Linked DNA regions of Macaca mulatta. The protein of the gene in region 4 interacts with the protein of the main gene of each other region in a pairwise test. Links are inferred from orthologs where the notes say so. Each region holds a gene or a part of one and is shown on either strand. Other genes may lie near its edges.

Region 1 (4,628 bases), about 73 Mb from region 4:
TTCCCCATATATACTCCCACTGTTTTAATCTAAGGATAATAAAAAAGAGAACTAAAATTCATTTAAGGCTTTTTTTGTGCAGAGCCAAATCTTAGCATTCTATATACTCTATAGATTATTTAATTCTTACATTAACTCTGTAAAGACAGTATTATTTCCACTGTCTTTATTATTTTAAAAATTATTATTTTAAAGATGGAGAAAATAAAATGCATAGATTTTAAATATTCTCTGTTTTCTTCCTAATACATGAAACTTCTTGTCCTTTCCTTTGCCTTTTAAACTTTGTTAAGGTTGTGCCTTTTGCCGCCTCCTTTCTTCCCTCTCCGTGTGTTTATGCTTCTTTCCAGGCCAATATAAAATGTCATCTTCCTTTTGAAAATTCTGTGTCCCTTCAAATTAGAATGACTCCTCAACCCCCATCAAACTTAGTTTTTATTTCATTTATAGTACTACTTTCTGCCTTCATTATTATTTGCCTACATGTCTTGTCTTTTATAAAGTTTGAATATCTGAAGAGCAGGATCTGTATCCTGAAGACCTCTTGTATCTAGTACAGAACAAGATACCTAAACTTAGATGGGTGGATAGATGAGTAGGTAGGAGGATAGATGCATGGAAAATGTGTATTTTCTGATCTAATGTTTTGCAGATTACCTAAAGCTAATCATCACAATTTTCTAAGTCTGTGGATGATTCCTAGGGCCCCAAACATGACACAGTAAACTCTATGACATGATGAAAAAAAAAAAAACAGCCTCCACACTTTTGCTTACATGGTTTTCTTTGCTTAAAGTACCTTTATCCCTCAGTCCTTCATTTCTTTATCTTAGGAGTGAAACTGCTTTTGGGAAGCCTTCCCCAAGTCTGTTAGGTGGAATCTATCATTCCATCCACTGTACTCCAGCAGAACATTATGTGGACCTGCATGTCACACTTACTCCTTTTACTGTGCGTAATTCTCCTGTGCTTTTCTGTTAGTGTAAACTGTAAGTTGTAAAACTCACCAAATATGAAAGTAATCATTAGCATTTATTAAAGTATACTACTTCCCTGGTGCTATATACTAAGCACATCATATTTATCTTGTTATTTAGCCCTTACAATAACCATTATTCTACAATAATAGATTGTTCTACAATAATAGAATAAGGTAGACACCATTTTTCTATTTTACAGATGAGTGATGGGGAAAGAGCTTTTGGAAGTTTGAGTTACTTCCTTATGGTCATGCAACTAAGTAAGTGTCTGAGATTCCAGAATCTGAATTATTACCCTCTATGCAGTGTTTTGTCTTGTTTGTTTCCCTGTCACCCTCACATGACACATAATAGACCTCAATAAAATAGTTAAGTAAGTGAATGACTGAACGACTGATCATAGCTATTCTCTAAATGTTTCTTGAGTGAATTGATTTATATAATCAGAGGAAAATGAATAATGGTTTCTTTTTCTCTTTAGCAGGAATTTTACCCTCTAGGGCATGAATACTGTGCTGTTCAGTTCTGAGCTGTGCTAGCAGTACCCTTCAAAGGAATAGCAATGGCTGCAGCAGCAGCTTCTCACCTGAACCTGGATGCCCTCCGGGAAGTGCTAGAATGCCCCATCTGCATGGAGTCCTTCACAGAAGAGCAGCTGCGTCCCAAGCTCCTGCACTGTGGCCATACCATCTGCCGCCAGTGCCTGGAGAAGCTATTGGCCAGTAGCATCAATGGTGTCCGCTGTCCCTTTTGCAGCAAGATTACCCGCATAACCAGCTTGACCCAGCTGACAGACAATCTGACAGTGCTAAAGATCATTGATACAGCTGGGCTCAGCGAGGCTGTGGGGCTGCTCATGTGTCGGTCCTGTGGGCGGCGTCTGCCCCGGCAGTTCTGCCGGAGCTGTGGTTTGGTGTTATGTGAGCCCTGCCGGGAGGCAGACCATCAGCCTCCTGGCCACTGTACACTCCCTGTCAAAGAAGCCGCTGAGGAGCGGCGTCGGGACTTTGGAGAGAAGTTGACTCGTCTGCGGGAACTTATGGGGGAGCTGCAGCGGCGGAAGGTAGCCTTGGAAGGTGTCTCCAAGGACCTTCAGGCAAGGTATAAAGCAGTTCTCCAGGAGTATGGACACGAGGAACGCAGGGTCCAGGATGAGCTGGCTCGCTCTCGGAAATTCTTCACAGGCTCTTTGGCTGAAGTTGAGAAGTCCAATAGTCAAGTGGTAGAGGAGCAGAGTTACCTTCTTAACATTGCAGAGGTGCAGGCTGTGTCTCGCTGTGACTACTTCCTGGCCAAGATCAAGCAAGCAGATGTAGCACTCCTGGAGGAGACAGCTGATGAGGAGGAGCCAGAGCTTACTGCCAGCTTACCTCGGGAGCTCACCCTGCAAGATGTGGAGCTCCTTAAGGTAGGTCATGTTGGCCCCCTCCAAATTGGGCAAGCTGTTAAGAAGCCCCGGACAGTTAACATGGAAGATTCCTGGGCCATGGAGGCGGCAGCCTCTGCTGCTTCTACCTCTGTTACATTTAGAGAGATGGACATGAGCCCGGAGGAAGTGGTTGCCAGCCCTAGGGCCTCACCTGCTAAACAGCGGGGTCCTGAGGCAGCCTCCAATATCCAGCAGTGCCTCTTTCTCAAGAAGATGGGGGCCAAAGGCAGCACTCCAGGAATGTTCAATCTACCAGTCAGTCTCTACGTGACCAGTCAAGGTGAAGTGCTAGTTGCTGACCGTGGTAACTATCGTATACAAGTCTTTACCCGCAAAGGCTTTTTGAAGGAAATCCGCCGCAGCCCCAGTGGCATTGATAGCTTTGTGCTAAGCTTTCTTGGGGCGGATCTACCCAACCTCACTCCTCTCTCAGTGGCAATGAACTGCCAGGGGCTGATTGGTGTGACTGACAGCTATGATAACTCCCTCAAGGTATATACCTTGGATGGCCACTGTGTGGCCTGTCACAGGAGCCAGCTGAGCAAACCATGGGGTATCACAGCCCTGCCATCTGGCCAGTTTGTAGTAACTGATGTGGAAGGTGGAAAGCTTTGGTGTTTCACAGTTGATCGAGGATCAGGGGTGGTCAAATACAGCTGCCTGTGCAGTGCTGTGCGGCCCAAATTTGTCACCTGTGATGCTGAGGGCACCGTCTACTTCACCCAGGGCTTAGGCCTCAATCTGGAGAATCGACAGAATGAGCACCACCTGGAAGGTGGCTTTTCCATTGGTTCTGTAGGTCCCGATGGGCAGCTGGGTCGCCAGATTAGCCACTTCTTCTCGGAGAATGAGGATTTCCGCTGCATTGCTGGCATGTGTGTGGATGCTCGTGGTGATCTCATTGTGGCTGACAGTAGTCGCAAGGAAATTCTCCATTTTCCTAAGGGTGGGGGCTATAGTGTCCTTATTCGAGAGGGACTTACTTGTCCGGTGGGCATAGCCCTCACTCCTAAGGGGCAGCTGCTGGTCTTGGACTGTTGGGATCATTGCATCAAGATCTACAGCTACCATCTGAGAAGATACTCCACCCCATAGGGGATGAGAAATATCATTTTCTTCTGCTCCCAAGCCAGCTTCCCTTCCCATAGTTCTTGGTTGTTAGTGGCACATAGAGAATAGACTCGGCATATGTCCTGATTCCAGCTGGGTAGTTCTAGAACTTTAGAAGCTCCATCTTTTTATGTTTTTTATTTGTTATTTTCCCCTCCCCACTTCCCACCTAAATTTAGAGCTTTAAAAGATGCACTGCCCAAATAGGACACGCAATGGTGTTAGCTGAAGTTTGATTAGCAATTAGGCACTTCCAAGGCTTTAGTAGAGAGAGCCACTTTAGCCCTTTGTGCCATGTTTGAAATGTGCCCTTGTATTAAATCCTTGATTTTTTCCCGTTTGGCTCTGATGCCCTTGATCCATTGTTTCCTTCCTATTACAATGTGCTTCATCTGTGACACTTTCTCTTCAACTCTGATTGGATTCACTGTGCATGCTTCAGTGGGATATGCTCCACCTTTCAGTGACATTTCAGACATATTCCTGTAACATTATGTCTCAGTCTGATCGTCTTTACCAGTGTGAAAGCTCATTCATTTAGTGCTACCAAAGGGGATACACAGGCCCTTTAGGAAGCAGTACCTCTCGCCTGGAGGATCTGTGCCATCTTGGATTGAGAACTGCAGATGTGACAGAATGGATTGACCCTAGTTGGTTGGTATTGACGACTTCAGCCTGGAAATTGCTTGCCTTTTAAAGAAGCATAATATGGATTGGAATTATGCCAAAGCATAGGAAGCTAGGAATAAGCAAACAAATGCTGATATAGTCAGCAAACTTGGATAGTCTCTAGGGCTCATCGTTTTTCATACTACCTCTCTCTTCTGGCCTGTGTCTAAGGAATTGTACAGCATAGGCCAGGGCCAACAAAATGGAGAGGTGGACACATTTTCATGTTCATTACTAAAACAAACAGCAAAACTGTTGGTTTGTTATTCTGTATTTTCCTCAAGTGAGTACATACTATTTGGTTTCAGGATTTCTTTCCATTTCTCTATCAAGCATTAAATAATTGAGAACTGTTTCTTCATCACTGGTGTTCATGTCTTTTAATTAAATATGGAATTTTGGAGATGATAAGAGGGATAACCTGCGCTATGCCATTTTAC
Region 2 (4,348 bases), about 14 Mb from region 4:
TATTTATTTTATTTTATTTTATTTTATTTTATTTATTTATTTATTTATTTTTTTTTTTTTTTTTGAGACGGAGTCTGGCTCTGTCGCCCAGGCTGCAGTGCAGCAGCGCGATCTCGGCTCACTGCAAGCTCCGCCTCCCGGGTTCACGCCTTTCTCCTGCCTCAGCCTCCCGAGTAGCTGGGACTCCAGGTGCCCGCCACCGCGCCCGGCTAATTTTTTGTATTTTTAGTAGAGACAGGGTTTCACCGTGTTAGCCAGGATGGTCTCGATATCCTGACCTCGTGATCCGCCCGCCTCGGCCCCCCAAAGTGCTGGGATTCCAGGCATGAGCCACCGCGCCCGGCCCAGACCAGGAGTATTAACCTTCACCTTCTGGTTGAAGGCCTTTTTTCTTTTCTTTTCTTCTTTTTTTTTTTTTTTTTTTTTTGGTACTTCATCAAATTCAACTGTGGCTTGACTGATATCTAAGTGCATTTACCTCTGAAATGATTCACAATAGTAAATGATATCAGCTTTTAATTTTATAAGACAAAAAATAGTTTTTAATAATTCTAAACTAGCTATGTTTGAGAAGACAATAGATCACGATTTTATGAAGAGCAAATTCCTAAAAATATATGCAAGATTATTACTGGCCCATAGTATTTAGAGAAACGAAATGCACCCACTCTTTGGCTGGATTTAGTCAGACAAGTAGAATAGGTAGCATAACAGGTCTAATTCCTACCCCATCTGGAATATCCATCCTTCTGGAGTTTTCCTGAACACTCATGGAGGCCAGCTGCAGAGCCCACAGGCAGGGCCACTAGGGTGGCATTTTTTCTACATGAGGCACAAATCGTGGTCTTCCCTCACCACAGCACAGCATGTACCCCAATAAGATCATTCAACATGAAAGTATTTCAAAAGGAAAGCAAATTGGCACTGGATGAAGTATACAATTTCAGGCGAGTCTCAAGGAACCTAATGTTCTTATTTAAACAATTACTTTGGGTTCAACTAGTTCTTCGAGTCCTTTTTTTCAGTTTGGTCTTGAATTGCCGTATGTGTGAAACTGCAAAAGCAGTTCTTACCATTCAGGACATACACTGATTACAGATCTTACTAAAAACTAGCAGCATTGCTAGACTTTCAGATTTACACAGTGAGTTCATAGAAAGGTTATTTACGGCCGGCTGTGGTGGTTCATGCCTCTAATCCCCACATTTTGGGAGGCCAAGGCAGGAGAATCACTTGAGCTCAGGAGTTGGAAGCCAGCCTGGGCAACATGGGGAAACTCCGTCCCTTAAAAATAAAAAATAAAAATTAAAAATTAAAAAAAAAAGATATAAAGGAAGGTTATTTACTTTACTCATCTTCCATAGTCATCCCACAAAGATGTGTTTCCAAGTCTCTCAACACCCAGAGAACTTCAGGGGGTTACATGCCTTGGACATTGTGCGATTGTTAGGAGGTAGAGGGGAGTGACCACCCGGTGTCCGTAGATACTGGCTGGCAGCAGCTTTTCTCTGAAGTTGGGCACTCTTTGGCCCCAGGCTCAGCGTTCCCGGTTGGAGGAGTGGGTCCTGGAGAGCAGACATCTCTAGCTAGCTGCTGCGTGCTCCAGGACCTTTGGCCAGCTCGTCCCTAATGACAGGTCCCGGTTCTCACAAACTGAATTCTGCACAGCAGCCTGCATGGCTCCAGGAACCAAGTGGGGTTAAGGCCCTCCTTTAATGACCAGGTACAAGCGCCAGTTCACACACACCCTCTCATTACCTCCTGAACTCGTCTGGGGGTCGAGCCACCCTACACATTTCACATTTATGTGTGTCTTAATGGAGAATAAAACAAGCGATGTGTCCGAAACTGTCCCATCCCACAAATACTCCTACTATGTGCCAGGCATTCTTGATACATCGGTGAACAAAAATGATCAAAATCCCTGCCCTCCCAGCACAGACGTTGTCAGTGCAGCAAATATTCAACGACCAAAAGAAGTTTAATCACTTTCCTCCCACTTTCCTGCCACCCACACCCTGTCCTTCCAATCTCCCAAAGAGCTGGGTGTCTTTGCTTAATTCTATTAGCTTAACTGGGACAATAAAATCCTTCAGCCTGCGCGCAACAGACACTACCCAGGTGCAGCCCAATTCACCCCTGAACTCGACCGTCGCGGAACATTTTTCTCCAGGCTCCAAAAACTTCAGATGGCGTTAAGGCTCCCCCAACTGCAGCCCTGGAGGCCAACTAAGGGACAATGAAAGGGTACGACCAGAGCCCCCTATCCACGGGATGACCGGGCTAGCGGGGCGCGCGCGCGGTACTCACCGAGGAGCCGGCCCAGAACGGGCACGAGTTCTTCACCTGCGGAGAGCTGCTCAGCGACAGCGCCCCGAAGCTGAGCGCCACCATGCAGCAGCCCAGGATCAGCTGCAGCAGCCCGAGTGACAGCAGCGGGCGGGCGGGCAACAGCGCAGAGCCCGGGGCCGCGGCGGCAGCGGCGGCGGCTGCCCGGCGGGAGGAGAGCGCCGGCGGCGCGGCCAGAACCCCGGCGGCAGCGGTGGCCGCGCAGCGAGGCCGCGACGGGGGCTGCAGCGCGCCCCGGGGCCAGCGCGGCCGCAGCGGGGGCAGCGGCGGCTCCTGGGCGGCGGCGGCGGCGGCGCCCGGGCCCCCGGTCTGCGGCCCACCCGAAAGCCCAGCCACGGGGCAGCAGGAGCCCGGGAGCACCACCGGCAGGGACATGGACGGACCGTGAAGGGTGCGGCCGGCGGTGGCGGGGAGGGGACGCTGAGCGGAGCCGAAGGCGCCGCACACTGGGCACCGCGGGCGGGCTCCGAGGCCGAGGGGGAGGGAAGGAAATGCGCACGGCCCAACCACTTGCTGCCGCCGCTGCCGCCGCCGCCGCTGCCCTGGCTCCAGCCGGCCGCACCCACCTGCCGCCTGGCGGGTCCGCCTCCCGCTGGCCCCGGGCGCAACCTCACTCTCACCCACGCGCACCCAGTGCTCGCGCTGCGCTGGGGCAAGTGCGCCACAGCCTCGGGGTCCCCGCCAAATCTGCGCCGGCTTCCTGGGGTCCTGGCAGGGTGCCCTGCCCCAAATATTTAAATAAGTCCCTCGAGCTGGGAGGCACCCTACGGCCAGGACGCGTCAGCGCCGGCCACCGACAGTCTCAGCGTCTGTCCCCACCCGCCGAGCTGGGGCTAGAGAAGAGCGAGGAAAGCGCCGTGGACCCTCGGACCCGTTTACAGTCCAGCCACTAAAGAGGCCCCGGCGCGCTTTAATGAGAAGGGAGCCCGCCCTTAAACTTTTGCCCCCACAAGGAGGGGGATGGCTGGAGGAGGGGCTTTGGGGCGACTCGATGGGAAGAGGCGTAAGCCAAGGACTTCGGGAAGGACGACGCCGAGCGCAGTTACGGCTCGCAGGGCGCAGGACCTGCCTACCCCGCATCAGCCCGGGAATGCTTTCCCGGCATCTCGGTAGGAGCGGGAATGAAAGGACTGGGTTACCTTGGAAGCATCCAGCATCCGTACAGAAAGTACCCGGGGCAGCCCGGAGCGCATGGCAAGGATTACGCTCTATCCTCCTCTTATTGACTCATGAGCGGTATCAGGCATCTATTAGGCATCACCTGGTAGAACACGGAACCCCCAAACTTCCGAGGAAATATCCTAATAAAATCCTAAACTATTTTGGTAATATATGAAAAATCTTTAGAGAAAAAAAAAAAGATGATTCCTCTTTGCAAAATGAATTCCCTTAGTAATATCTTTTCACCTTGGAAGAATTCTAATGCGTAGAAAGTTTCGTACCTAAAATGATTATAATAGACTTTTTTTCCTGATAAGAACCACAGCAGTGTTCTTGGCAGTTAGTCAGTTCCAGTATTAGAAAACTTGTCTTATCCTAAGGTATTTAACATCCTCCCACCCAATATACCAAGAAAAGTGTGTGTCAGTTTTTATACTCTGTTTGTGGAAGCTGTATTTATATTGGTCGTTACACTTTAATCCACAATGTGATATACTGTCAATGTGCCCAAGTTTACATATACACTTCTTAAATTATTAAAGCACATGTCATTAATGGTGCCTAGGACTTCCTTTACAGACTGCTCCCATGAATAAATTCAAATTCTGGAGGAAAAGGGAGATGTCTTTCAAAATAAGGGTTTAAAGTCTGTTGATTCATTTTTAAAATGCCATATAGTATATGCTCTTAAATTGCTGCTGATGTTAAATGAAAAGCTTCTTTGGGCCGAAGTTATACTCTATTTTATATACAAGCTTAACAGTATTTAATTTTTAACCATGTATTACACCATGCAATATAGTAAGTCTGACTGAGTCTTAAGAAATTCTCTCCGCTA
Region 3 (4,647 bases), on a different chromosome or scaffold from region 4:
AGAACAGGATTTGTGCCTCTGGGAAACTGGATTCCTGTCATCTCCTGCCAGCTGTCATCGCCACACCGAGGCTGTTCAGCACCGCGGGACCCTTTCTCTTTGGTATTGGTGGCTTCGGTAAATACTGAGGGAAGGTGGAGGTGGTGGTCGATGCCTTTTCCTGCCTATCTGGTACCTTGGGTTCTTTATCTTGATGCGATCTTGAAGGCTTCTGGCCTGGTGTTGGCTCCACCCCCAGGTCTCTGAACCACAGCCGAGGCAGCTGAGCAGAGGCACTGCTCGGCTTCCCCTAGTCCACACAGCCTGGCCACCACCCCGACCTGGGGAGGGGGACTCTGGTGGAAGGGGCCTGGGAGGGGCATCTTCCCTGGGGCAGTCTCAGTCCTAATGCTGGACGCTGGGGTCCCTGGTCCCACTGAGGCAGGGCCTTCCTCAGGGGTCTCTGGGGAACCCTGGGAATTCAGAACCCCACACTGGTCCGGCCTTCACGCCTCCAGAAAGCTGAGATCTGCTCCAAAGTGACCCGTGGCTGGAGGCCCCACTCGGGATCCGGGCTCCGTGGCCGCTGCCTCCTGGCCTGGGGGCTCCCAAACTGGGCTCTGGCCTCTGGCCTCTGCTCGGGTTCAGCCCAGCTCACCAGGCCCGTGCCGGGGGGCCTCCCCTCCCAGGGCTGGGGCCCCCAGAAGGTGCTCCGGGCTGGGACCTCCGGTGAAGTCTGGGGGCCCAAGGAGCTGGGAGCAGAATTTGGGGCTGAGGGGGCATATGGGGCAGTTGCTTGGGCCTCCAAGACGCCCACTGGAGTGGGAGGCTCAGGGGCCCGGTCTGTCAGCAGGGGGACCGCAGAGCCGTACCAGTCCTCAGAGCGCTCTCGGGGGGTGCCCATGGGCTCAATCCACAGCTCTCCTCCTGGGCGCCACACCAGGGTGGGTGCATGGTGGCTGGGGTCTGGGCGGAGAGCCCGGCGGAACAGGCGCTCAGCCAACACAGCGGTGGTGAGGATGAAGAGCGCAGCCAGGGTGGCCAGGGCCAGCATGATGGGGATGCAGGGCCCACAGGGCAGTGAGGGCCATGGGGCTGCCTCCCACGTGGGGGGCCCTTCCATGCGCCCAGAGGGCGGCTCTGGAGTTGACGGCATCTGGAAGACATGGGGCAAGAAGAGGAAGTAAATGAGGCAGAGGGGGCACAACAAAGATGAGAGAGAGGCAGCAGGTGTCCAGGAAAGCCTGGGAGAGGGGCTGGGCTCGGGGGCTCATGCCTGGAATCCTAGCACTTTGAGAGGCCAAGGCAGGATGATCGCTTGAGCCCAGGAGTTCAAGACCAGCCTGGACACACAGTGAAACCTCATCGCTATAAATAATTTAAAAACTAGCTGGGCATGGTGGCTCACACCTGTAGTCCCAGCTACACAGGAAGCTGAGGTGGGAGGATTACTTGAGCCCAGGAGTTCGAGGCTGCAGTGAGCCCAGATTGCACCACTGTCCTCCAGCCTGGGTGACAGAGCAAGACCCTTTCTCAAAAAAGAAAAAGAACATTCTGGAGAGACAGAGGAGCAAGGGGGACCAGAAAGGGTAAGCGTGAGCCAGGTGGGGCGGGAGGACAGGCTGCCTACCTATGCGCACAGCCAGGCCCTCTTGCCCAGCTCTCCAGGCCTTTCCAGAAGCCCCATTTCCCTCCCGGACCCCAGGGTGCCTCAGACCAGAAAGGTCTTGAGGGCCTCTTTCCTCCCCACTGGGCCCCCTCAAGTCTTGCTTAGGCCTAGAGAGGAAGTGGTGGGTGAAGAAATGAGAACCTCCCCTCCGACCGGCTCCCCTGTGTGTGTCTCCCCTACCGCCTCCCGCCGGCCACCTCTGCTGGCCCCTTGGGGCTCCTTCGCCCCTCACCAGTCTCCTTGGACTTGATCTTGTTCTCATAGACTCCGTGGAATCGCGGAATCTGCTGCCGGGCCAGGCCAGGCCTCCGGAGGCGCCTCTGCACCCCTCCCAGGTTCCCCAGCTTTGCCCAGGCTCTGGCCTGTCTCTCTCTCGTTCGTCTCTGCACACCTCTCTCTGTCCCCCACATCCTCCATCTGCAGGGGCCTCCTGCACCCCTCAACTCACCTTGGGTCAGTCCCTGGGCGCCTCTCCCTCCTAGAGCCACTCTTCCTGGTGCCGGACTAAGAGATGCAGGCTCGGAAGGTGCAGGGCAGTCCGCCTTTCAGACATAGAGGCCGGGCCTCGGATGAAGGCGGAAGGGAGGGCACTGCCTGTTGCTGGGCAACTGTGCCCCAACTCGCCTGCCCCCGGGGAGTGTTTGTTTCCAAAGCAACCCAAGGGGATGTGGTCACTGCGGTGAGGAGGCTTTTCCTGGGGTAAGGTGGGGCTGGAATGGGCAATGGCTCTGTTGAACTTAGTGTCACCCCATAGCCAGGCCCTGGGCCCCAGAACATTCACCCAGAAGCCGAGAAAGAGGACGCAGGGGCTAGGCACAGTGGCTCACCCCTGTAATCCCAGCATTTTGAGAGGTCAAGGTGGGCAGGTGACCTGAGGTCAGGAGTTCGAGACTAGCCTGCCAACATGGTGAAACCCCATCTCTACTGAAAAATACAAAAATTAGCTGGATGTGGTGATGGGCACCTGTAATCCCAGCTGCTCGGGAGGCTGAGGCAGGGAGAATCACTTGAACCTGGGACTCAGAGGTTGCAGTGAGCTGAGATCATGCCACCACACTCCAGCCTGGTTGACAGAGCGAGACTCCATCTTAAAAAGAAAGAAAAAGAAATAGGACACAAGTAATCTAGCCCGTACATTCCTAGAGAACCATGGTGCCTCCCCCTGCTCCTCCTGGGAGGATGCCCCACCCCATCCTGCCTTGTCCTATCCACGGTGCCTCCCCAGATCTGCTCCTGCCATCCAGCCCCCACAGGCACCCCCTGCTTGACCAACTTGCTTCACACTTTTTTTTTTATTTTTTATTTTTTTGATAGGGATGGGCTCCCGCTATGTTGCCCAAGCTGGTCTCAAGCTCCTGGCCTCAAGATATCCTCCTGCCTCCGTCTCCCAAAGTGCTGCGATTATAGGTGTGAGCTACCACACTGGCTCCTGCCTCATACTTTTAATTAACATAAGTCTCTCTCTCTTCAGACCATTTAGCCCCCATTCTGGTTGGAAAATATCAGTGAGGTGAGGCTTGGGTAACAAAAATGTCAGGCCTCTGGGAGGAGTCCAGGGTATAAAAACAGGCGTGGGCTTGTTTCCAAAACACTGACTAGCCTCATGTCTGTCCCTCTTTCCTGGGGCTGAGGGTGGGAGGAGTCTAGAACAGAGTGTGACGAGATGTCATCAGGCTTTGGAGTCCAGGAGACTTTCTGAGATTCTCTAGTTTGACTCACTTATCCACAGATGACAAAGTTAAGGCCTAAAGAAAGCAGATGACATGACCAAAGTGGCATGACCAATGTATGTGTGGGTCAGCATGTGGTGGCCGGGGTGGTGGAAGAATAGTTAGAAATCCCTGGGCTGGGCGAGGTGGCTCATACCTGTAATCCCAGCACTTTGGTGGGCAGATCACCTGAGGTCAAGAGTTTGAGACCAGCCTGGCCAACATGGCAAAACCCTGTCTCTACTAAAAATACAAAAATTAGTCAGGCGTGATGGCACGTGCCTGTAATCCCAGCTACTCAGGAGGCTGAGGCAAGAGAATCGCCTGAACCTGGTGCAGTGAGCCGAGATCGTGCCATTCCACTCCAGCCTGGGCAACAGAGCGAGACTCCATCTCAAAATAAATAAAATAAATGAATGAAAAGACATTATCAGTCAGACTGCCCCGTCCTGGTGATTTTGAGCCCTGGTGGGAGGAGGTGGAGATGGAGAGTTCGGGGAAACCACCTTTGCAAAATTAGGACTGAGACTGTGAAAGAGATCTAGCTTAACCGACACCATCTTGCTTCTAACCTCCAAGCTGTCTTTGTTTATTCCTGGGCGTAGGCTGAACTAACTTTGGGAGAAACTTAGTTTGTAGTTTATAGTTTAAACAAAGACAGTAACAGCCCTTTCCCAAAGCAGACCTCCTTCTTGCCTGGGGACTAGACTAACATTAGCCATTGGATTAGAAATTATGGTTTAGGAGTCATGCAGCTGCAGGCTAAAAGATTCTGACCGTCCCTACTGCTCCTAAGATCAGTGCTTGAGATATTTTGCAGACCCTGCACTTGATGGATCAGCTGGCACCGCCCAGATCAATAAACTGGCTCATCTGGTCTTGTGGCCCCCACCCAGAACTGACTCTGCAAGAAGACAGCTCCAACTCTCCATGATTTCATCTCTGACCAGTCAGCATTCCCAGCTCACTGGCTCCCCGCCCACGCACCAAGTTGGCAGTGGCTCACGCCTGTAATCCCAGCACTTTGGGAGGCCAAGGCGGGCGGATCACAAGGTCAGGAGATCGAGACCGTCCTGGCTAACACAGTGAAACCCCGTCTCTACTAAAAATACAAAAAATTAGCCAGGCATGTTGGTGGGCGCCTGTAGTCCCAGCTACTCAGGAGACTGAGGCAGGAGAATGGCGTGAACCCAGGAGGCGGAGCTTGCAGTGAACCGAGATCGCGCCACTGCACTCCAGCCTGGGCGACAGAGCGAGACTCCGTCTCAAAAAAAAAAATTTTAAGAAGCC
Region 4 (4,594 bases):
ATAACATCATATATTAACTGAAAGGAATTTTTCCATTTATAAAATATTGACTATTTCTAATCTTCTGCAGTAAAATGCTGAAAGCACCCAGGATGGTGGAGGCATGAATCAGGAATCCTAGAAACCAGACCTGAACTTTAAAACTTAATATGGCTACACCCCCACTAAAATAGCTAAAATTAAAGAGACTGACAAGATCAAAATGTTAGCAGGGATATGGAGCAACAGGAACTCCCATATATCTTCGTTGGTGGGATGGTAAAATGACACAAGCTTTTTTTTTGTATATGTGCTGCTGAAGCCAGCACTACACAAGCTTTTTTTTTTTTTTTTTTTTTTTTTGAGATGGAGTTTCGCTTTTGTTGCCCAGGTTGGATGGCAATGGTGCCATCTCGGCTCACTGTAACCTCCCTCTCCCAGGTTCAAGCAATGATTCTCCTGCCTCAGCCTCCCGAGTAGCTGGGATTACAGGTGCCTGCGGCCATGCCCAGTTAATTTTTGTATTTTTAGTAGAGACGGGGTTTCACCACGTTGGCTAGGCTAGTCTCGAACCTCAGGCGATCCACCCGCCTCAGCCTCCCAAAGGGCTGGGATTACAAGTGTGAGCCACCACGCCGGGCCCACAAGCATTTTTTAAAACATAATTTCTCACAAAACTAAAACATACAATTGCCCTATGACCTACTCAAACCAAGTCTTAAGTATATAACCATGAAAGAAAAAAGAGTCCACAAAAACACTTGTATAAGACTGTTCACAGTAACTAACTGGAAACAGCTCAGGTGACTTTCAACAGTGAATAGATTATGGTATATACATACAGTGGAAAACTACACACCAATAAAAAGAAAGGAACTACTAATACATGCAACAAAGACGAAACTCAAAAACATTATGCTGAGTGGGAAAAAAAAGGCTTACCCAGAAAAATACAAACAGTACTATAGACTATATGGGATCCCACTTAATGTTAAATTCTAAAACAGGCAACTCTGTAACTTATGGCATTTAAAAAAAAAAAAAAAAGGTGGGTAGTTGATGGAAAGGCCGAGTGACTGAAATGACTTGGGAAAAGGTAAGAAAGAACTCTCTAGTCAATTACAATGTTCTATATCTTGATAAGAGCTTGGGCTACACAGGTGTAAGCATTTGTGAAAACTCATGGAATGGCATGCATTTCACTGCATGTCAAAATTACGTCAAAAAACGTAAAAAACGAGGCTGAACTTAGGCAAATATCAGTTCACAATGCTGAAGTGACATGTACTGGTGTCATCTACTGACACGTGCAATTTACTCTGAATTGCTCCCCAAAAATAAAATGGACTTGATAATCGATTATAATACTGTAAAATGCTAATTGTAGATGATGGACATATGTGTGTCCACTGCCCAGTTCTTTCAACTTTCTGTATGCTTGAAAATACAAAAACGGTAAGGAACATTTTTACAGGCAGTAGGAGACCAAAAAAAAAAAAAAAAAAAGAGTGATAAATTCCGTTGATGGTAAAAGTTTCTCTCATTCGATGTTACACACCTCACTGCCTCACAAAACACACTACCTTTGGAACTCGCTAAACCAATATCCCAATCCCCTACAGTCCCTGGGGACTCTGATAGGTACATTTCAGGAATTGTTGATTGTTTCCTGTCACAAACTGTTCACGTTGTGTGCGATCTTCAGAGATTAAGTCAATAATCATGGAAAATACGACGTATTCAACAATACACTAAAATTATTTGTTAAATTCCACCAAGGATCTTAATTAACTGCAAGATTTGTATTCCTGAACGAAGTTTAAGTAATATTCTCCATTAACTCCAATTTTCTTTTATTTGGCTGCAACAGCTAATATCAACATCGCTATCGCCTCTCTAAAATCAAACAAAAACCTACCCAATGACTGGCATCTAAGAGATGATAAACATACTAAAAGGGAAAGAGCAAGTCATCAATGAAAGAAAGTCATTCACTTTTCTCCTTAAACCTAGTACTATTACTATTACTTAAGATGGAGCTAAAATCGGTTTCTACGTCATAATTTTTTTAAAAAGGTTGCAAGGTGGGAAAGATTTCAGGAGTTAAAATGCAGAACTAAATATACACGTGCACCTCACCCCAAAACCTATCTTAACAAGCAGGCACGTAAAACAACGAGGATCCCACCCAACCCCTTTTTTAATTCATAAAGCAAAACCGCAGCCTGAGCTAAAGCGAACCCTCGCCCCCGCCCAGCCTCCACCCCGCCCGGAGCCTAGCGGTGGGTCCCTTTCCTTTGTGAGGAATTGGAGGGGAGGCGACGGAGGGCGGGGAACTGGGGGAGGAGGCTGAGGGTCGGCGGATGCCAGGGAAAGAAGGCTCCGAGAAAAGCGGCATCGGCCCGTCCCACAAACAGGCCGCGCCGCCACGCCACAAACCACTGCGGTGTCCCAAAGCGCAAACCCACTAACTTGGGTGTGATCTAATTTGGGACGACGCCCGGGAGAATGGCCGAGGGCACCTGGGAGGATGACCCCTCTCCCAGGTCCTTCCCAAAAGGTCTCTTGGCGCGGCGGGCGGAGGTCCTGCCGCCACCCCCATCCCGGCCCGAGCACCAGGCGACCTCACCTGCTGGACGGAGCTATTCTCGGGCACGGCGAATTCCTCCTTTTCCTTCGGTGTCTTCACGGTGACTTTCATGATTTTGGGCTCCGCGGAGGCAGCGGCCGCGGGGACGCCAGCACCTTCGGCTCCGGCAGCGCTATCCTGGGAGCCCGGAGGACCGCCGCTTTCACCACTCTCGGCCATGGCTGCAGCGGCGGCGGCGGTGACTCAGGCAAGCAGGAGTGAGCAGGCGAGCAAGGAGGAGCCAGCAGACACCAAAGCCGACAGGCCTGGACAGCGAAGAATGCAGAGCACGCCGCCTCACTAGCAACGGGCGCAGGGCCACCCTAGCGGGTGTGGGGCCTCGGAGCTCGGTGCAGGCTCTGGCGCAGGCCCGGGTCAGGCGCTCGGCAGTCGCCGTGTGTTCAGGCGCCGCTCGCTCACATCGACATCCGCAGCAGCCACCGCTTCCTCCTCCCTGCCCCTTCCCCCACGTCCCTTCGCCGGCGCCGCGCGGAGCACGCCGGGTAACGCGCCTGGCGGCGTCGCCGAGTCATCCCTGGCTGGCGCCGCTTTGAGCTCAGCCTACGTGCCTTTTCCTTTCCCGCTCCATTGCCCAAAGTGTAGGCGAAGCCAGTGTGAAGGACTAAAAGCAAAATGGGGCGGGGCAGCTCAGTTCATGGTTTTTTTCCGTTCCCTTCACCAAAAACTAAATTGCAGTTTCCAGTTAAGCGCTGTAACGGCGCACCGAGATGACGTCAAGGTTAGCGAAATTACTAGAAAGGGACCAGTGGGCCCTGCGACCGCGGATGCGCCTGCGCGCTCGCGGTCCAGGTAATCTCCCCACCTTACTTCATTCCCGGCTGGGCAATGCTCAGCCCTCCGCGCTGTCACAGTCGCCTTGCCCTGCCTTGCCTCTCTGCCTACTCTGCGTTCCCCGCTGGGAGGAGGGTCTGGTGATAAAATAGCGGCGAGGTATTTTGTTGTTATTTTAATATGCTTAGCGTTTCATATTTGGAGGGCTGGTATTGCCCTATGCGGGGGAGTTGGGATAAGTTAATGGCGGAAAGGTCCACAGCACAACAAACAGAAAATGGAGTAAACGCCTGTGACTGCCCTGCGCAATCCCGCGGAGTCATTGCTTCGTGGCCAGAACTTATTTACCGCCCTCGGGTTAGCCCTGTTTGGTCAGACGATCAATCAGGCGACCTGTATTGACAGTGGCCTCTGCTGCTGCGATGACAGCTGTGCGCGAGCGCCCCCCGATTCTCTGTGAACTCGATTTCCTACAGTGTGTAGGGCGGAACAGGGTGCCCGAGGAGTGTCCACCCAACTGGGACAATGTAATATAGCTGAGGTGTTCACTTTCTATTCTATCAAGTTACTGCTCAATGTCAGGCTTTAAGTGGCATTAAAGATAGTTCCAAAATTATTTTCAGTGTAATACAGATAGAAATAAATTATCTCTGAGAATCCGAATTTGAAATTATATCATTTGGTTTTAAAGATGACTTGCAAGGAAAGTACAAACCAGCACATTAACTATATTAATCAGTGTTGCACAATTTAAATCCTGACAGCCCATGGTGACCCAAATCCGCAAAGATACATTTTGCATTTCTGCTCCTAAGCCGTCCAACCCTGTTCTCAGAATAAATACTGTTACATAAACACGACTTTTTAGCAGAGCTATATGGAATCTGGGTCTAAGAGAATTCTGAGGGTATCGATTTCAGGATAGACATCATTTGATATCACCTAAATTTCTGGCAGCGTGGCTCAAATAACAAGGCCTTCTGCTTAATGAAGGATGACTACTTGGTTATGTCTAGGTGTGAGGTAATCACTGCTTCTCAAGATAGAAAGTGCCACAACTGGACAATCAATCATTTGGAATTTCTTCCATATGTCTAAATAAAATTTCTCCTCAACTTCATCAGCTCCTCATTACCTGTTTTTCCCTGTCATGCTGTGTCTTACCTGCACGCTTTGCCTAAGCTGCCTTCCTCT
Region 5 (2,876 bases), on a different chromosome or scaffold from region 4:
CAGTAGAGCCTCAGCAGGCAGCAGTGGGATGAGTGGGGCTCCTCACAGGAACCCTTCTTTCTTTGGTCAGGAAGACGCTGCTCTTTACCGACACCTGGGGACCCTTCTCCGGCACTGTGTGATGATTGCTACTGCTGGAGACCGCACAGAGGAGTTCCATGGGTGAGGATGGGGCTTTTTCTGGGAGGGAAGTGTGTCCACATGTTTAGATGGTCATCCTCAGCCCTGGCCGTGAACCAGAACCACCTGAGAGCCCAGGCCCCACCCTAGAGGGTCTGACTTTGTCTGGGTGAGTGAGACTGGACATCGGTGTGTTTCCAGAGAATACTGGGTGCTTCTAATATGTGGCCAGGACAACAGCCATGAATTTGGGGGCAGGAATGTGCCACCTGGGCCTTGGGTAGTGGCAACAGACAGTGTGGTATTTACTAGGGCACATTGGCTCCTTGTCCCCATTCTTGGTCCACCTGCCCCTTGGCTGGTGTGGTTTCCAGAGATGGTCTGGCACTTTGGCCCAGACAGGGTAGGGGAGGCAGGGTGTCTCAGCCCCCACTTCCCCAGGGGACCCCACTGTACAGCTGAGTGGCAGTGCCTCTCAGATCAGTCCCTGCCCTTGGCTTTGGTCCCCAGTGCCGCCCCTTTGGGCCTCAGACGCCAGCTCATGTAATGTGTGGTTCAGTGGGGGCACAAAGATTGCATCTGTGCTGAGGGATTAGCCCTATTGAGACCCCCACCTCCATCTGTCAGCCACGCAGTGAACCTCCTGGGGAACTTGCCTCTCAAGTGTCTGGATGTTCTCCTCACCCTGGAGCCACACGAAGACTCCGTGGAGTTCATGGGAGTGAATATGGATGTGATTCGTGCCCTCCTCATCTTCCTAGAGAAGCGTTTGCACCAGGTAGGCTGGGGATGGCTGTACAGGCTCCCCCAGTGGCTCTGGCACTGGTTCTCCTGCACAGCTGTGGTCAGTGCTTCTCCACTGGCCACATTGGTAAGTGGAAATCATCTTGGTGGTGTGATACAGGTGATTCTTCCGGCTGTTCTGTGGTCCAGCCTGGCAACAAGCTAGACCCTTCCTTCATGAGAAGCATGTGGACACCTTCCACACACTTGAAGGTTTCACTTCTTAAATCTTTGTGGATCTTTATTGAGTGGTCCTGAGAAGCCCCCAAGTCCCTGCTTTTAACTCTCAGACACAGGCAGCCCTTGACTACAAGCATAGCTGTCCCTCAACATCCTGAGGAGACCCATAGGAACCTCAGATCAAAGCTTCCCTCTGATTCCTGTGACTGCACTACAGGGCATCTGGATAGCTAGGGCTCTAACCATCCTCCAGGAGCTTGCAGAAAGCAGGCTGGAGCACAATAAACCGAGATTTAGGAGACCTCTCGGGAATCTACCTGCCTAAGCAGGGGACACACATGGTGCGTGAGAGCCAGTCAGGGTAGGGAGCTGGCACTGGACATACAGCCGGGGGGTTGTCTGTGCCTGTCGCTGTCGCTGCCACTGCTGGTGCTGGGGTCCAGGCACATTATGCTAGGAGGGTCAGGAACTCCCTGCTCTCTGTCCATGAAGTACCCAGAGTGGGGATTCGGTTCTCGTTTCTTTTTGCCACCAACATCTGAGGGCAATGTGTGTGCCAGTCTAAAGCTTTAATTGCTTTGTGTTTTCTTCCCAGCCCTGGTTTATAGTTGAGGTAATTAGACTTAAAGCAGTTATTTCTCCCAAGTCACCAAGCTTACAACAAGTACCTCTGAGTGAAGCTCTGTGCCCGTCCTTTTCAAAAGTGACACAGACACCCACCACCCACTCTTGGCCTTCTGCTGACTAACTGCAGAGGGGCCTCTTCCCAAACCTGTGCCACCAGGACCAGCTGCTGTGTATGTTGGTGGGAAGGGGCGGTGGGGGGTGTAACTCTGCGCCAGTCTCAAATTAGGCAGGAGCACAGCCACGGTGACAGAGGCTCCTCTACAGACACACAGGCTGAAGGAGAGCGTAGCTCCCGTGCTGAGCGTGCTGACCGAATGTGCCCGGATGCACCGCCCAGCCAGGAAGTTCCTGAAGGCCCAGGTATGAGACTGAGGAGCTGGCACTCCTGGGGGATGTGGTTTCGGCCCTGATCACAGACCAAGCCCAAGCTTAGGGACGGCCACCTCCCCAGGTGCTGCCCCCTCTGCGGGATGTGAGGACACGGCCTGAGGTTGGGGAGATGCTGCGAAACAAGCTTGTCCGCCTCATGACACACCTGGACACAGATGTGAAGAGAGTGGCCGCCGAGTTCTTGTTTGTCCTGTGCTCTGAGAGTGGTGAGTTATGGAGATCCGGGTCCCAGCGCCCCCACCTCAGCCAGGCTTGCACACTGACCTCTGCCTTGCCCCCCAGTGCCCCGATTCATCAAGTACACAGGCTATGGGAATGCTGCTGGCCTTCTGGCTGCCAGGGGCCTCATGGCGGGAGGCCGGCCTGAGGGCCAGTACTCGGAGGATGAGGACACAGACACAGACGAGTACAAGGAAGCCAAGGCCAGGTGTGTGCCCCCAACACCCCCTCGGGTCTCCACTCAAAGCCCCTAGTCCCTGCTTCGACATCCATGTGGACCACTGTAGGGTGGGACAGGATGACCAGTGGGCAAGACCTTCCAGAATCAAGCACCTGTCCCTAAGTGCTATCTGGGATACCAGAAGGTGGCAGGTGGCAGTTGCTGGTTACCAGTGCCGCTTCTGGAGGGAGGCCTCTTCCTGCAGTTGCCTTGCCCACCTCGCCCCACTGGGAAAAGAGGTGGCTTGCCTCCTGTCCTGGAGAGTCACTAATGCATTCCCCACATTCCACCTGCTGGGAAACAGCATAAACCCGGTGACCGGGAGGGTGGAGGAGAA
Region 6 (3,912 bases), on a different chromosome or scaffold from region 4:
ATCACTTAATGATTACAGAATTGTCAAGCAAATTAACATTGGCCATGCATCTTATAAATTACAGATGAATGTATATAACCAAACTAATATACTGCTTCACGGTTTTGATTATTTTAGTGTATTTTTAAAAACTTTGCTCAAAGCTTAGGGAAAAGTATTGTGAAGAATGCAGGGCCAGTCATTAAGCCTATTTTATGTACTAGGAGACTGTTGGTGAATTTTAGGATCAAAAAATGTTAAACAGCACAGCCATTAGAGATAGTGAAAGATTTTATTTTTTTTTTACTTTCATCCAAACACACCCTTTCCTGAAAAACATAAAAGCATGCACATCGATGGCATTCTTATAAAGAAAAATTAATAACTAAGCTGTAAATCAATAATAATACAAACGAAAGTTTAAATGATATGTGAAAAGATTTACAGGTAGGTATACGGCTCTTAATTTTAGAAAATAATTCAAGTCAGAATTAATACAGGTTAAGGAGAAGCTTCTAATTTTCCAAACATTTTGATACAAAAATTTTTTCAACTACTATATTTTATAGACCGTTTGTGAGATTAGTATAGTTCTATGAAACATAACATTCAAGTGATCTTATGCAGGTCAGACTGCCTTGTTAAAATGAGTTAGAATCCACATAATTCCAATAGTATTGCCCCTCAAAGTTCAAATTTAGAACATATCCATTATATTCAAAATATGTTAAATCCCTGTACTTAACAAAGACATGGAATCGATCTAAATTTTACTTTACAGGTAAGAGAAAATTAGAATTTGGCATGAGGAAACTTTTCTTAAGTTTTACCCATGCCCCACTGATGATTAGGCCAACTGTATCCTGAGTGTGCATGGATGTGTGCATCCATTCTAAACCAATTCACATCACACGACTCTTCAAAGACGATGCTTGAAACAGTTTATTCTCTGGCCTGGGAGAAGCAGTGTAACACAGTCACTTGATTCTCCCTTAATCATTATTTCTTTCATTTTGCTTATCATGATCCAATTCGTATGTTTCATGTGGGCCATTGATATATTTTTGCAACAAAAATCCAGTAGCAGTAAGCAGAAATGTTAACTTAAAGGACTAGGAGGAAATCAAAGTTTAAATTATAACACAAAAATAGAACAGTTCACACCGAAAGGTCTTCTCCCATGGGATATATTGTTCCATGGCTGAAAATTGTGATTTGGTTCCTGGAACAAAGCTCTTGCTCTAAGGTGATACATATTAATGTGTAGCTCTACTAAACCTAATGGGAAATAAACAAATTCGTTCAGTCCTGATGAATTAATTCTGTATTTCACTGGCTTGAGAAGGTGAATTTCTTGACACAGACAAATGCAAAATGCCCCTGCAGTAGCTGGTGAAGCCCACTCACAAGGGCTTAAAGAGGTCAGCTCTGAAAGTGGGCAGCCCAGGCTGGCTCTGCATTTCTTCCCAGCAAGTCTGCGTGCAAGCCGCTGAGCGGCACCGCTGACGGGATCCAAAGGAAAAGGGCCAGAGCCCAGTGGGAATCCACCACATCACAGAAACGTGACTTCTGAACATCCTGTTCCATCAAAGAGAAGAAGGCAAAGGCACATGCTAGTAAATCTAGGCAGAATGTCTGCAGGCTCTCGTCACCTTAAAAATCTTGTGAACTTGGGGTCCAACCAAGGTGCACACTGACTATTTGGATATTAAAAAAAAAACAAAACAGAAAACCTTAATGTTTTCAAGCACTTATGGCACAGACATAGGGGAGTACTAATAGCATAAATATTCAAAAAGCTGGGAAATTTAAAGTTCTGCTATAATGAATCAGAATCACAATTTTAAGCTTCTTTCTCATATTTTATACCATTTTTTGTGTGTACAGGGTGTGCAAATTAAGCAATTTCAATAAATATTAGAAATTTATTTTGCAAATACAAAATGAGTAAAATCAGCTAATAACGCAATACAATAAAATCATGTGCTAAACAGAGCTTTCTCCCCATGAACACTTTTTACCCTTTCCTTTGAACATCCTGACACTTCTTAAATACAATTTATTTCACTGACTTGTAGAAATAAGCACAAGATGAAATATTAGCTAGCTGCAAGATACTAAATACTTTAGTAATAAGACCTTAGAGCTGTCAGGTTGTAATAAACTGAAAATAACAGAGAAAGTGAAATATGCTGCAAATTAATGCTCAAAAATGCAGCCATCTGACTTACAAAATACACAATCCTCCCAGCCTTCTCAAGTTGTCATTAGTTCATGGGAAATGGACAGAGTAGGAGAAACTCCATTTAGCTTTTACCCTTCCAGCAGCCCCGGTGCTAAAGTTGTATTAACCAGGTATGTCTGCCCAAGACCATTGCATATCAGCTTTCGTCACAAATTCTATTTTATCCAATCTTCAACCAACAAGGCTTTATTTACACTCCTTATTAAATTCAGGAAACAATTTGATGTCATGTGCAGCCGCCAAAAATAGACAATGTAGCACATCCCATTGTCTGGAGACAGCTATTTGTTTATGCTTTAATAGTAACCCACAGGCAGCCAAGTAGGGTTCCATATATCCAGGTGTTCACATACAGCTTCCTTCCAGCATCGGTCATAAGCATGCCTGCAGTCAAACCACTTAAGATCAACATTGATGGTAAAGTCTTCTTGATACTTAATTTGGAATTAACACTTTTCCCAGGAAATCTTTTTCTTCTTTCTGGATCTGGTGACTCATAAAATTCTATAAGCATCCTATGGCCAGAATGAAAAAGGTTTGGATTTTAGTCACTTCAGTATTTCAATTCAAAAAATATCAATTAGGTAGCTATTACATGCTGGAAAAGTTATGCAGGTCCTTGGAAAATAAGGATGAATAAGGAAACATCCAGAAATTTGGATTAATAGAAGTTTCTAGTCTTTTAAAATATCTTTAATATGCTCTATGACTAGTATACATGAATTATATATGTAATATTTCAACAGGTGGTTTTAAGCCATTTTATGAGAATGTTTTTTGTCTTTTAAACTTTTGATCTATAAAGTTTTACAGTGACCTGACTCACAAATGGCTAATAACCCGCTGCAGCTTCTCCTCCTTTTTATGTGGAGCTCCTATTCCACCAGAAGTCAAAGATAGGACCAGCGGTTCTTAGACAGCGGTCCCTCTGTATCCACAGGAGGCTGGTCCCAGGATACCCAGCACAGACCAAGATCAAAGGATGCTCAAGTCCCAGATATATGAATAAAATGGCATGTATTTGAATATAACATATACACATCCTCCCAAATCCTTTTTTTTTTGAGACAGGGCCTTACTCTGTTGCCAGGCTGGAGTGTGGGGCAACGATAGCTCACTGCATTCTCAACCTTCCAGGCTCAGGAGATCCTCGCACCTCGGCCTCCTGAGTAGCTGGGACTACAGGTGCACACCTGGCTAATTTTTGTATTTTCTGTAGAGACAGCGTTTTGCCATGTTGCCCAGGCTGTTTTGAACTTCTGGGCTCAAGCAATTTGCCCGCATTAGCCTCCCAAAGTGCTGGGATTACAGGCATGAGCCACCACAGTCAGCCCCCTTTTTTTCTGAGTGTTTTTGATCTGTGCTTGGTTGAATCCACGAATATGGAATCCATGGATATGGACTGCTCACTGCACCTGGTCTGTCCCAAAAACACCTTTATTCCCATGGAATTAGAAAGGCAGGTGAAAGAAGGAAAACAGCATAGTAATTCATTTTACCATCTTACATAAGATTTGTAAAGTTATAATAGCAGAACATACCCAACATAATAATCTAAAACACAAAAATACTGAAAGGAAAAGCACCTCTATTGCTTTATAAATCACACACCGTAGCGATAATCATTGTTTTAAAATGTCCAGACTCATTCTAAATATTTATAAATACTTATAAAATAAGTAGCACGT
Region 7 (4,550 bases), on a different chromosome or scaffold from region 4:
AATAACATTTTCTTTTCTATAGCATACTTTATTGTTAGAATAAAGTATATAATACATATACAAAATGTTTTAATTGATTATATTATTGGTAAGGCGCCTGGTAAACAGTAAGCTATTTAGTAGTTAAGTTTTTGGGAGAGTCAAAAGTTATATGGGGATTTTTGACTGTGCAGGGGTCGGTGTCCCTAGCCCCCACATTACTTAAGGGTTAAGTGTATTTATATAAGTATACATGTAATTTACAAATATAAATGTTTATACATTTATAATATCTAAAGGTAACAAAAGTCTGTCGATACACTGACACTTTTTTTCTGTACCCTGAGGGCAGACATTTCCTCTTCTTACTCTGTATTTTTGTGTAATTTGCAGTTTTTCTAAGAAGCATGCATTCATGCATTACTTGAATGCTTTTTTTTTTTTTCAGGGGATGAAAAGGGCCTTCCTAGAAAAAAGACAAAGACTACCAAGGATGTATGAAGGGAAGAAAGAACTGTGAGGAACTGCGGTACTAAGGATGGCCTGGTGAGCGTCAAATGATGTGTAGCTGGAGGCATGCAAGAGGAGACAGAGAACTCAGGGCCGCCCACCCCTAATCAGACCACCACCCATAGCCACACAATGTTTCTTTGTTGTTTCAATTACAGCGCATAGAATGTTTTAAAATAACACTTCTGATACCAAATTTTAAATATGGTATCATCTCAATGGTGCAAATAATGCATTAAAAATGGGCTGGCAGGAAATATGCCAACCTGCAGTTACTGCCTCTAGGAAGAACGAGTGGTAATAATCATCTTTTTGCTTCTTCATTCTTTTCCATTTTCTAGTTTTCTGTAACCATGTATTATCAGGGAAAAAAGCATACTTTTCAAAATGAATTCCATATTATAGGAGAAATAAAGCCAGTTATTTCCCCAAATAATCCCTGGCCAAGGAGGACCCTCGAGTCAAATAGATAGATATATAAAGGATTCTCTGTTACTGTTAAGACTTCCTTCGCCTAGCTGTGAGTTCCCCAATTCCTTGCTCCACACTTCAGGACCAGGACCCTGTGAGGATTGAGATGGAAACACGTGGATGGGAAGAAAGGGTATTTTCATTCTTTCTTGAGTTACATTGATTCTCTTCCCTGCTTCTGAATGACTCTGAGGCCTCCTCGGCGCTACCGTCTTTATTTCCTACCATCTCTTCCTGTATATGCTCTTTGCTCTTGTTTTCATATTCCTTCCCTGGTTCGTTTCCCTTCTCCCCTCTCATCCCACTCCTCAAGCTCCTCCTCTTCCTTTCTTCAAGTCACCCATATTGGAGGCAGGAGGGATTTGCAGGATGGGAGGGGGAGAAGGTTGGGTAAATGAAAATATTCCAATTCTATAGTTGAACACTTCCAGGCTCAAGCTTTGGGTCATGACGATGGCTGTCCAGGGAAGGAAGCAAAAGAGAAGATAAAAAATAAGAAAAGCAACCCCTATTGCAAATGTTAATACATTTCCAGTGATTATCTCTTGGTCATGATGGGTGTCACAGTGTGAAAGACTCTCTGTTGTCACAGTCACTGACAACAGAAAAAAATCCCCCAAAGTCAGTGTCACAGGTTACTGTCCAGTGTGTCATTACCATCAGGATCGAATCCTAAAAACTAAGAAAAATTTTTTTAAAAATTAAGGAGCAATTTTCTTTTAAAGTATTCTTATAGGAAATCACGACATCTTTTTTCACAAGAACAGAGACAAAGAAAGCAGATTCACCTAAAGGCACAATACCTGCCAAAAAACCACTCCACTACTTGACCTCACTGGGGAGTTCCTCTTCGCAATTTCTTAGTTCACTGGGAACTTTGCCAGCACCAAGGCCAACAACATTCCTGAAGATGTCATTTCCACCTCAGCACACCCTCCCCTATTTACTGGCTCAGTAAACACCGGGCCCATGAACTAATGAACAAGTGAATGAATGAGAAGGCAGCAGCACTCTGCCGGGGTGCTTACCTCTTCTGGTTCATGGAGGCCACCTGGAGCCACTCGTTGGTGCTGGGGTTGTAGGAATGCGCAGCAGAGATCTCCTGGCTAGTGATCCTGTACCCGCCCACTATGAAGAGGTAGTTGTCCAGGATGGCAGACCCATAGCCCCTGACATTGACCAGGTCGGGAGGAAGGTTGTTGGCCAGCGGGAACCAACGCTCAGTCATCTCTTCGTACCTGAGCATGGACGGGGGCTCCCCCTGGTAGGGGTGAGGGGCCAGGGGTCCCCCCAGGAAGTCCCCGAGGGCCACGAGGACAGGAGTCCCAGTCATCCGGGCCTCCCTCAGCCTCTGCTTCAGGCTGACATCCCCCGGAGCTTGGGGAGGAGACCCCAGGAGGTGGAACTGGGGCTTGCACAGCACCTCGTGGAAGTGGACGACCATGAAGCGCAGGCAGGCCTCCTGCAGGTCGGGCAGCCCGTACACCTGCGCCAGGCGGTACATCTCCAGGCAGTTGTTGAGCCGCACCTGGGACAGCAGCAGCTGCAGCAGAGACGTGACCTGCAGGAAGGAGGCCGCCTCCACCAGCTCGGACAGCAGGCTCACCTCATCCATCTCCTCATCCTCGTCCACCCCGCCGCCCTTCTCCCCGCGCGGGCCCAGGAGCCAGCCTTCGCGGGCCCCGCCGGCGTTGATGAAGTCCAGCACCAGCCTCAGGCCCGGCGCGCTGAGGCCGCGCAGCTGCTGCACCTCCGGGCCGCCGGCCTCCTGGCTCAGGGCCTCGCGCATGCCGGAGCGGTAGAGGGCGCGGAAGTAGTCGCTTTGCTCGATGAGCTTCCTCTTGCTCACCGGGTAGCAGCGATCCTCCAGGCGGATCTGCACCATCTCCTCGGCCGACATGGCTGGGGGCCCCGGGGCGGCGGCGCTCACCGCCAGATCTGCGCGCCGGCCTCCCCGCCCCCACGCGCGCGCCGGTTCCGGGCGGGGCGCCGAGGGATGGCGGCCCGGGAGGAGCGGCGAGGTGAGGGCCGCCCGCGCTCGCCCGGCCTCTCCAGCGGCCCCTCCTCCCGGGGCCCGCTCCCGCGAGGCGGCGGCTCTGCCCTTCTCCTTTTCCTCAGCGCCAAAAAAGGGCCGGCGGAGCGCGCCGGGCGTCCTCGCGCGGGCTCTCCCAGGCGGCGCCAGGCGGGAAGGGAATCCCAGCCCCCAGCCCGCAGCCTTCTCCCCGGCCGCCCTTCTCACTTCCGCCCGCGGGACCCCGGCCGCCGGCCTGACCTGCAGGCTGGATCCGGCCCTCGGGGAGGCCCGGGAGGCTGCGGGCCTGGGCGCCCCGGCTGCGGACGCGCAGCTGCGGGAGGCGGAGGGCGCGCGTCCCCGCAGCCTCTCGGCACGCCCGGGGCGCGCGGCTCCGCCGCCTGCCAGGGGCTGCAGCGATGCTCCGGGGTACCCCAGGGAGAAGAAATTAGTTTTCTCTCCCACGCTGCTTTACACGGGCTAAAGAAAAAGAAATGAACGTGGGAGGAAAGAGGAGGCAGTCTCTGGTCCAGGGAGACAAAAAGGCATCAAATCTAGGATCGTCCTTCTGGCCCAGTCCGGCATCGAGTGTCAGTGGGCTGAGGCAAGCAGGCAATCTGTGGACATGTTGGTGGCAATGTTGGTGGCACGTAGAGCTGATTCTCTGGTAGGGTCGTCGCGTAGGAGCCATCTTACAGGAGGTCCAGGCAGATGGCAGCAGGTTCTCAGAGGAATCGGGTTGGGAGGCAGGGGACCTTGCATTTGCCACTGGGGCCCGTTGTTCTCCCTAAGTTATTAAAAGAAAGATGAAAGCGCAGTTCGACTAAATAAAGTTACATCACGTGGCTTCTGGTTTTAAACCATGTTTTCTATGAGCCATTGCTTGTCTACTTCAGTCTGCTTGGACTAGCCATTACGGAATGTTATACTGTCGCAAAAGATCTGACAAAATCAGCTCATAGATGTCTGCAAGAGGTAGCTTTTCTTGTCACCCCGTTTCTCCACCTACCCTGCCCCCATCATCTGAGGACTATTAAGAGAGATCACACGTTCAGTTTGGCTGAGCGCGATGGCTCACGCCTGTAATCCCAGCACTGGGGGAGGCCAGGGTGGGTAGATCACGAGGTCAGGAGTTCGAGACCAGCCTGGCCAACATGGTGAAACCCCGTCTTTACTAAAAATACAAAAATTAGCCGGGTGTGGTGGCACGCGCCTGTAATCCCAGCTATTCCGGAGGCTGAGGCAGGAGAATTGCTGGAACCCAGGAGGCGGAGGTTGCAGGGAGCCGAGATCGCGCCACTGCACTCCAGCCTGGGTGACAAAGCGAGACTCCGTCTCGGAAAAGAGCGACCACTTGTTTCCTATGTTCTCTCACTGACCATTGCAATTAGAAGGCCCACCCCAAATAATAACAGGAAGGACTTTTTGTGTTGCTCATGAATTCATCCAAGGAAGGGGATGGGGGGAGAAATATACTGTTAGGGTTATCTTTGGGTAGGAGAAGAGAGAAGGATTGAGAGGAAGCAGAGGGTGTGTTCACTCTTATCTTACAAAACAAAAACAGAAAACCTTGAAAACT

Evidence for each region.
Region 1: the proteins of UBQLN1 (region 4) and TRIM32 interact in binary tests that used the Homo sapiens proteins (3 or more experiments, as listed by UniProt). The two-hybrid records come from large-scale screens. The link is inferred for Macaca mulatta from reciprocal best matches to the Homo sapiens genes UBQLN1 and TRIM32.
Region 2: the proteins of UBQLN1 (region 4) and ENTREP1 interact in a two-hybrid assay, tested with the Homo sapiens proteins (2 studies listed by BioGRID and IntAct). The link is inferred for Macaca mulatta from reciprocal best matches to the Homo sapiens genes UBQLN1 and ENTREP1.
Region 3: the proteins of UBQLN1 (region 4) and ZG16 interact in binary tests that used the Homo sapiens proteins (3 or more experiments, as listed by UniProt). The link is inferred for Macaca mulatta from reciprocal best matches to the Homo sapiens genes UBQLN1 and ZG16.
Region 5: the proteins of UBQLN1 (region 4) and RIC8A interact in binary tests that used the Homo sapiens proteins (3 or more experiments, as listed by UniProt). The link is inferred for Macaca mulatta from reciprocal best matches to the Homo sapiens genes UBQLN1 and RIC8A.
Region 6: the proteins of UBQLN1 (region 4) and AGPAT5 interact in binary tests that used the Homo sapiens proteins (3 or more experiments, as listed by UniProt). The two-hybrid records come from large-scale screens. The link is inferred for Macaca mulatta from reciprocal best matches to the Homo sapiens genes UBQLN1 and AGPAT5.
Region 7: the proteins of UBQLN1 (region 4) and KLHL42 interact in binary tests that used the Homo sapiens proteins (3 or more experiments, as listed by UniProt). The two-hybrid records come from large-scale screens. The link is inferred for Macaca mulatta from reciprocal best matches to the Homo sapiens genes UBQLN1 and KLHL42.

Annotation. Positions count from the first base shown.
Region 1 is NC_133420.1:41,594,314-41,598,941, reverse strand, and holds TRIM32 (E3 ubiquitin-protein ligase TRIM32), read left to right. Parts: upstream 1-1,461; 5' UTR 1,462-1,542; coding exon 1,543-3,504; 3' UTR 3,505-4,371; downstream 4,372-4,628. UniProt on the Homo sapiens protein: E3 ubiquitin ligase that plays a role in various biological processes including neural stem cell differentiation, innate immunity, inflammatory resonse and autophagy.
Region 2 is NC_133420.1:100,369,744-100,374,091, reverse strand, and holds the start of ENTREP1 (endosomal transmembrane epsin interactor 1), read right to left. Parts: upstream 2,873-4,348; 5' UTR 2,725-2,872; coding exon 2,311-2,724; intron 1-2,310. UniProt on the Homo sapiens protein: Functions as an activator of the E3 ubiquitin protein ligase ITCH in the ubiquitination of the CXCL12-activated CXCR4 receptor. Thereby, triggers CXCR4 endocytosis and desensitization, negatively regulating the CXCL12/CXCR4 signaling pathway.
Region 3 is NC_133425.1:28,820,576-28,825,222, reverse strand, and holds the start of ZG16 (zymogen granule membrane protein 16), read left to right. Parts: upstream 1-1,472; 5' UTR 1,473-1,568; intron 1,569-2,096; exon of another isoform or gene 2,097-2,418; intron 2,419-4,647. Other genes in the region: C20H16orf54 (transmembrane protein C16orf54 homolog), read right to left, coding at 461-1,135. UniProt on the Homo sapiens protein: May play a role in protein trafficking. May act as a linker molecule between the submembranous matrix on the luminal side of zymogen granule membrane (ZGM) and aggregated secretory proteins during granule formation in the TGN.
Region 4 is NC_133420.1:114,632,459-114,637,052, forward strand, and holds the start of UBQLN1 (ubiquilin-1), read right to left. Parts: upstream 3,051-4,594; 5' UTR 2,789-3,050; coding exon 2,609-2,788; intron 1-2,608. UniProt on the Homo sapiens protein: Plays an important role in the regulation of different protein degradation mechanisms and pathways including ubiquitin-proteasome system (UPS), autophagy and endoplasmic reticulum-associated protein degradation (ERAD) pathway.
Region 5 is NC_133419.1:87,142-90,017, forward strand, and holds part of RIC8A (chaperone Ric-8A), read left to right. Parts: intron 1-70; coding exon 71-162; intron 163-747; coding exon 748-898; intron 899-1,974; coding exon 1,975-2,070; intron 2,071-2,143; coding exon 2,144-2,306; intron 2,307-2,382; coding exon 2,383-2,527; intron 2,528-2,843; coding exon 2,844-2,876.
Region 6 is NC_133413.1:7,581,964-7,585,875, reverse strand, and holds part of AGPAT5 (1-acyl-sn-glycerol-3-phosphate acyltransferase epsilon), read right to left. Parts: intron 2,740-3,912; coding exon 2,514-2,739; 3' UTR 1-2,513. UniProt on the Homo sapiens protein: Converts 1-acyl-sn-glycerol-3-phosphate (lysophosphatidic acid or LPA) into 1,2-diacyl-sn-glycerol-3-phosphate (phosphatidic acid or PA) by incorporating an acyl moiety at the sn-2 position of the glycerol backbone.
Region 7 is NC_133416.1:30,133,950-30,138,499, reverse strand, and holds the start of KLHL42 (kelch-like protein 42), read right to left. Parts: upstream 2,901-4,550; 5' UTR 2,861-2,900; coding exon 1,989-2,860; intron 1-1,988. UniProt on the Homo sapiens protein: Substrate-specific adapter of a BCR (BTB-CUL3-RBX1) E3 ubiquitin-protein ligase complex required for mitotic progression and cytokinesis. The BCR(KLHL42) E3 ubiquitin ligase complex mediates the ubiquitination and subsequent degradation of KATNA1.